Macaca fascicularis: one gene and its partner. The protein of the gene in region 1 interacts with the protein of each later gene in a biochemical or structural test. Links are inferred from orthologs where the notes say so. Each region holds a gene or a part of one and is shown on either strand. Other genes may lie near its edges. The genes, in order: STK26 and CAB39.

What was found.
Region 2: the proteins of STK26 (region 1) and CAB39 are reported together in a solved structure, tested with the Homo sapiens proteins (2 studies listed by IntAct, with this or other methods). The link is inferred for Macaca fascicularis from reciprocal best matches to the Homo sapiens genes STK26 and CAB39.

Annotation. Positions count from the first base shown.
Region 1 is NC_088395.1:138,326,758-138,330,582, forward strand, and holds part of STK26 (serine/threonine-protein kinase 26), read left to right. Parts: intron 1-644; coding exon 645-830; intron 831-2,248; coding exon 2,249-2,397; intron 2,398-3,758; coding exon 3,759-3,825. UniProt on the Homo sapiens protein: Serine/threonine-protein kinase that acts as a mediator of cell growth. Modulates apoptosis. In association with STK24 negatively regulates Golgi reorientation in polarized cell migration upon RHO activation.
Region 2 is NC_088386.1:126,716,597-126,720,421, forward strand, and holds part of CAB39 (calcium-binding protein 39), read left to right. Parts: intron 1-2,915; coding exon 2,916-3,084; intron 3,085-3,825. UniProt on the Homo sapiens protein: Component of a complex that binds and activates STK11/LKB1. In the complex, required to stabilize the interaction between CAB39/MO25 (CAB39/MO25alpha or CAB39L/MO25beta) and STK11/LKB1.

The DNA of each region.
Region 1 (3,825 bases):
AGTCTTTTCTGTGACATATAAAGCTCTACACAATCTGGCCATTATCTGCCTCTCCAGTCTTATCTCCTACCACTCTCTTCTAGATTATTCGTCCACAGTGGCCTCGTGGTTGTTCCTCAAACATAGCAAGTACACCCTGGCCTCAGGACCTTTGCACCTGCCCTTCCCTCTGTCTGAAAAAATCTTCCTCCCACAATCAGGTCTGCTTAAACATCACTTACACAGAGAATTCTTCCCTGGCCATCTTATGTAGATCTGCAACACTCTTGCCCCCATCATTCATTATTCTCTTACTATGCTTGTTATTTTCTTCACAGAAGTTAACACCATCTGGCATCATATTATGTATTTATTTATTTATTTGTCTCTCTTATTAGAATGTAAGCCCCTTAAGAGCAGGGATTTTTGTCTGGCTTATTCACCACTGAAATCCTCCATTCTGAGAAGGGTACCTGACACAAAGTATGGAATTCATTATGTTTTAAATAAATGAATTATAGTAATAAAAATTTATTAACACCACATTTTCTTGAGAGACAAGTACTGTATGACCATTAGGTTCCACAGACTATTTTGTGGTAGTATATTGTAATGGAGTTTCAAGGTGATATACATATATATATTTGTTTTTCCTTTTATCTTAGGCTGACATTTGGTCGTTGGGAATTACTGCTATTGAACTAGCCAAAGGAGAGCCACCTAACTCCGATATGCATCCAATGAGAGTTCTGTTTCTTATTCCCAAAAACAATCCTCCAACTCTTGTTGGAGACTTTACTAAGTCTTTTAAGGAGTTTATTGATGCTTGCCTGAACAAAGATCCATCATTTGTGAGTATATATTGCTATCATTACTATTTATTTTCTATTATTAGATCTACTTATAGCAAAGGCAGCTTTTCCTGCAATAGGGAATACAGTGCATGTGAGAATTGTCTAAGATCCATCCAGGAACTTGGTTCTTCCTTCTGTACTGCTACTTCTATTGAGTTATTAACCAGATTCTTCATTCTTTTTCTCCTTACCCTTCATTTTTTTCTTGGTACCCAGCTTCCTCCTTATTCTATTCATTATTTCCTATTTCAGGGGGAAATAAATTTGAGAAGTAAAGTTATCTTTATATTATGTCATTATTAAAGTGCATGTATAAATACAGTGATTTTTATTCAGCTGTTTTCATTTTTCATGAAAAGTTATGTTTGGGTTTAACTGTTTTTTTTTTTTTTTGAGTCAGAGTCTTGCTCTGTTGCCCAGGTTGGAGTGCAGTGGCGTGATTTAGGCTCACTGCAACCTCCATCTCCCAGGTTCAAGCGATTCTCCTGCCTCAGCCTCCCAAGTAGCTGTGATTACGGGCACCTGCCACCATGCCTGGCTAAGTTTTGTATTTTTAGTAAAGATGGATTTCACAATGTTGGCCAGGCCAGTCTCGAGCTCCTGACCTCTAGCGATCCGCCCTCCTCAGCCTCCCAAAGTGCTGGGATTACAGGCATGGGCCACTGCGCCTGGCCAGGTTTAACTATTTTTATTTAGTGTTTAGAAACTTCACCGTGGAGTTGTATACTTTTCCTAGGCTAGTGAGCTCCATTCATTTACTTGGCAGATTCGATTACAGTTGTTTTGCTGTTGTTGAAATAAAGCTGCCTTGTGATTTTTCGAGACGAGAAATACACAAGAGCAGTCCAAACTTGATATAACTATTTTTAAGTTGATGATAAACATTGTGATATTAATAAAGTGAAGGCGGGACATTCTCCACAGCACCTGGTGTTTGCATTTAGATGCAATAGACATTGATGTCTGATGGAGAAGGGATTATAAGATATGTGTAAATAATAACAAAACTACAGCCTTGCAAGTTTTCATCAGTTTTTTTCAAATTTACAGTAAATGTGATTAAAGTATTTTAGAACATTACTTTGAAATGTTTTTAAATGTTTACTTTCTAAATACTGTCATGTGTCTCTCTGCTTTTGAGAAGGCCCTGCCTGCCAGTTTGCTGGTGGGTAAGCCACCTGCTGCCCATTGGGCTTTAACAAATTTAGACGCCAAAGTAGTAGATTCAATGCAGTTGCCTTGAGCCACTTCAATAATAGAATTAGCTATTTTCCTACAGCATTTTAGTTGTTCTTATATCTACAGACATACCTTTATACCTTTCAGCTTAATAATTCAGATGATTTTTTAACCATTCCTTGTAATCATAAGAGTTCAACAATTGTAATATGCAGCCTTGATCTTTTTATCCTTAGCGCCCTACAGCAAAAGAACTTCTGAAACACAAATTCATTGTAAAAAATTCAAAGAAGACTTCTTATCTGACTGAACTGATAGATCGTTTTAAGAGATGGAAGGCAGAAGGACACAGTGATGATGAATCTGATTCCGAGGGCTCTGATTCGTATGTACAAATTATTTAATTTTTATGTAGGTAGCCTATTTAAATATTGTATATCTTTTAGCTATGATCAGTGTGCTTGTTCTAGCATAAAATATAAACCATATTTTGAAATTTCACCTTAGAAACTGTAAAAATCTTTTTCAATCACAGTCTAGAATACAATGAAGTTGGAAACATGTTTTTCTTGGAAGTGAATAGCTCTAGTTTTAAATGGTCTTGGTCTAACCCCTAGTGGATACTTGAGTATATTACAAAATTTTGGAGCAAGATTCAATTAAAAGTGTTATATTAGTTTGCCCAAAGTAATAAGGAGCTGTGTTTTCTCATACTTTGATGGCAACCTGCAAAATCCCTCTAAAGAACTTTCCTTTCCCACCTCTTGGCCATGTACCAAATCCAGATCAGACTGATACATTTGAATATTCATTTATGTGTAATTTTTATTTCTTGAAAAAGTTGTAGTGTTTTATAACAGCAGCGTTTACATTAAAAATTCAGCCTCTAAGTCCGTCAATTAATTTAGACTAGGAAAGTCTGTATGCTATGCCAGAATTTAGTCCTCTACCAGCTGAACTGGCAAAAAGGCAACACCAAATTTATTTAGATACTACCCTGAGATTCTTCCATTTATGAGAAATTGCTCAATGTTGGAAAGGGATAAAAAATATCAGAATAATTTGTGCCCTATTCTGATGGGTGTTAGCCTTAGCTTCCCATAAGAGTCACTCATGGAACCTTTTTATTTTTATTTTTATTTTTTATTTTTTATTTTTATTTTTATTTTTTAAATTTATTTATTATTATTATACTTTAAGTTCTAGGGTACATGTGCATAACGTGCAGGTTTGTTACATATGTATACTTGTGCCATGTTGGTGTGCTGTACCCATCAACTCGTCAGCACCCATCAACTCGTCATTTACATCAGGTATAACTCCCAGTGCAATCCCTCCCCCCTCCCCCCTCCCCATGATAGGCCCCGGTGTGTGATGTTCCCCTTCCCGAGTCCAAGAAGGATGAGTTTGTGTCCTTTGTAGGGACATGGATGCACATGGAACCTTAAAGCAATCGCAAGCCACACCACTGGAGATCCTGATTCAATAGGTGGGGAGCAGTGAGGGACAGGTATTTACATTTGGTAGGAGGTCTCAATGAAGCACACATCGAGCTGAGAACCACTCCACTACCACTCTGTAGTAAAATGTAGTATTCACCTGCAGCTGAGATCAGATCTTTTTTGTACCAGGAGTTTTTAAACATTGGGACAATTATTCCTTTAGATTCTACATACATCGATTTGATATTTTTGCCAAGCTGAATCATTTGGTCACTTATAGAGGTATCTTTGGCAATCTCTTTAGGGAATCTACCAGCAGGGAAAACAATACTCATCCTGAATGGAGCTTTACCACCGTACGAAAGAAGCCT
Region 2 (3,825 bases), on another chromosome or scaffold:
ATAATCAGGTATTATTTTTTAGTATAATCAGTTGGTGACCTGGCCACTTCCTTAGATAAGTATTGAGTTGTTTTAAGGATCATTATACACTCAAGTTTTTGTCTTTTTAAAAATTACATTTGATATGTCTCAGTCGATTCCAGTCATTACTTTCTTGTGTCCAAATTGCCCCATCTTTGGCCCTTGGGAGCTCCTTCAAGTTGGCTTCTGCGTTCTTTTGGCAAGACCCCATCAGTCTGTGATAGCTTCCTTGCTTTCTGGCGTAGGATGACCATCTTGCTCATTTTGTATGAGTCCTGCCAGACCTGGAAACAGCCATTTCTTCAAGGAGCACTGTGAACTGCATTTTAAGATTTTTGTACCTTTGTTGATTAATTTAAACTGCTTCCATACAGTGTGATTATCTTCTTAGGCTGTAAGTACTTCTATGGTAGATGTTTATTTGGGGGGCCATGTTGCTAATATTAGCATGCATTTGAAGTCTTATTGCTGGTGTTAGACTGCATTTGGAGGCGATTTTTTTTACTGGCAGTTTACATGTTAATATGCTGTTCACTTTAGTGCTCACAGGTTATACAGCATAACTGTTTGCCTTGTACTTGTTTATGGTTTAATCATTTAGACAAGCTTGACAAGCCTCCATCAAAACCTGCTCAACTTGTTGTACCAAACTGTCTTACCCTTGTCCTTCCTGCCTACTAAAGTTCAGCAAAGATGAATTGTATGATCAGCCATTTTGTGAGCAGATATTTCCATCAAGTAAGAGCCAGTCAGCATTCTAGCTGCATGCCTCCACTGATGCCAAGGAGTGTGGTTTTATCTTGTTGAGGATCTATGATGTGTAAGAGGACACCACTACTAGATAACAAATGAGTACTACAGGATTTCAGAGGATAAAATGTGGTTTGAGTTAATAAGGCAAGGATTGATAAAAGGATAGGACTTAAGATGGGAGTTCCTACTAGTTTAGAATTTACATAGGCAGAAAAGAGAGAGAAGGCATCCTAATGGCATATGACTGGGAACAAAGGTATAGGGGCAGGAATGAACATAACATGATTGGCAGCAGTAAGGAGAAAATTTGAAAGTTGTATGGCAGGGTGGGAGGTGACATTGTGCTATAACAGGAGATCTAATGAGGGGAAGACTGGACAGTTAAGTCCAGAAGTTTGTGTTTATTTGATTAGCTAGAAGAAATCATTTTAAGCTCCCAAGCTGGAAATGCTGTTGATACACTTGTGTGTTGGGTAGATTTATTATGACAGAGCTTGAACAAAGATGCTGGCTAGGAAGCATTTGCAATTGTCCGGGTATGAATAAATGTAGCAGTGGGAATGGATAAAAGCAAATGAAACTAAGATAATCAGAGAAACATTTTTTAAAGCCTTTGAAGGCTTTCAAAGCCTAACATTGAAGGTGGGAAGATTTGGAGTAAAGAAGGAAAGGTTTAGAACTGGGCTGTCCAATATAGTAGCTTCTAACCACATGTAATTAATTGAAATTAAATAATATTTACGATTCAACCCCACAGTCACACTAGACAAATTTCAGGTGGTCAGTAGCTGTATATGGCCAATCTCTCCATAATGAACAGCACAGATACAGAACATGGAAATTTCTGTTAAACCTGGTTTAGAACTGGATGACTGAAACAAAATAATGATGCCAAATTATAGAAATGAGGAAGCAAGCGGGATGGGGGTGATTTTATGGAGGGGGATGAGATTTGATTTGAGACACATTGAGTTTATGGTAGCGCTTTAACGGAAGTTGTCCACAGGCAACAGAAAGTGCCTAATTCAGGAGTAGACATGGAGGTGGGGTTAGTAGTCGTGGTGGGAGCCATGAGATTGTATGGGCTTTCATTAGCAGGTTGTGGGATACAGGTAAAGACCTCAGCCAGGCAAGAAATAGGAACAGTCAGAGAGATAGAAAGGAGAGAACCGTGAAATGTTTTATTTTCGTTTGGTTTTTTACAGCCTGTCAGGACACTTGAGTAGAAGACTCTATTTAGCCAAGAGGGAATCTTTGCTGGCCCGTTATTTATTTCGCTAGTGTGTTGGGAAATGGAATATGACTACAAGAAACTAGAGGAGAATGTGAGGTGGAAAGAAAGCCAGTGCATGCAGCTTGAGAGGAAGTAGAAGAGAGCGATGTGTTTGAGGGGGCGGAAGAGGCCAGTCAGAGGGCTTGTGCACATCTGAAGGGGAAATGCCTCTTGCTTGGCTGAGAGGTGTCTCTCTAATGGCAGGGGAGGAGAAGCCAGAGACATGGGGATGAGCATAGGGAAGGCTATGTGTGGAGAGCTGACGAGGGGGGGCCGCCTGCTTCGTCGCCCCTGGGCTCTCTGATGGGAACCCTTAGTGAAGTCCTCAGGAGGAGGCTTATCAGCTTGGTGGTGTTTACATGTGGCTGAGAGACTCGAAGTACTATCTTGAGTATTGAATTAAAACAACAAGGTATAAATTCTATATATTCATAGACCTATTTAGAGACTCTGAATTTGGGGAAATAGTTTGTCTTGTGTGTTTTGATTTAGCTTTTGGTTTTTCTGAGTGTCAAGAGCACCATCTGTAAAAGCTAACCCCTGTATAGAGTTATGGTATGACCCGAAATACCTCTCTTGAAATCTTTCAGCTTAAATAATGTACCTTTAGTCACACAGTCACTCGTATGGCTATTTTTCTTTGGTTTAAGGTGGTCATCACCAACTAGTGTGTGTTTGCACTCTGGAATCAGTTTACCTGAGCACATGCTCTACAGAAATACCTTCTGTAATCTGCGATGGTCATTTAGTTAGGATACATGTCCGAAAACTTTCTGCCCTAAAAGTTTGAACTGTTCATTGTTGGAGTTTTGAAAGAGCAATCATATTTGTTTGTTTGTTTTGTTTGTTTGGTTTTTTGTTTTTGCAGGTATGAATCTCCAGAAATAGCTCTAAATTGTGGAATAATGTTAAGAGAATGCATCAGACATGAACCACTTGCAAAAATCATTTTGTGGTCGGAACAGTTTTATGATTTCTTCAGATATGTCGAAATGTCAACATTTGACATAGCTTCAGATGCATTTGCCACATTCAAGGTAACATAAAAACTGTAGAATTCTAAATATGCTTGAAAGTCAGATTAACAGGTGTGCTGTTTTTCTAAACCTTCGTTGCCCTCCTAAATCTACACGTGGCTGCCCTCTAGTGGGAAGAGAAAGATACATTTTATATGTGTCTGTGTGAAAGAGGTATATGCAGTAAAGTCACAGCTTTAAAAGGGTGGAAAAGTTAGATTCTAAAATATATCTAAAAGACAAAAGTCCTGTGTGGTCAACATTTTACTTTGCTGTTAAATTATAATTAAGTATGATGTACTGTACAGCATGTGTAACAACCAGGTTTTCTCCTGTGTTGAAACATTGTGTAGCAGTTTCTTTGGTTAAGCACCAGATGAAGTAGTTGGCTTCTGTTCAGGTTTATGTTAATTTGGAATATACACTTCATGAAATATTAGGACCACATTCAGGACAGAGATACATTGTAAATAGGCCTGAGGAAACAGTGGATTCACCTCTCCCATCTCCTGCTCACACTGGATCATGTCTATTAAATGTAGTGCGTGGACAGAATCACCTACACTATTCAAATCATAATGTATCTTCCCTGCTCCCCCATCTGCCTTTCCTCCCTTGGTGTATATTTGTATAAATTAAATACATACATGATGTGATATCACTGTACAACGTGTAGATTCTTGTTTTGAGTTACAAGGTTCTGTGCTGTTTACAATCTATGAATAAAGCAGGAGTCTTTTACAATGAGAGCAAGCCTTTGTA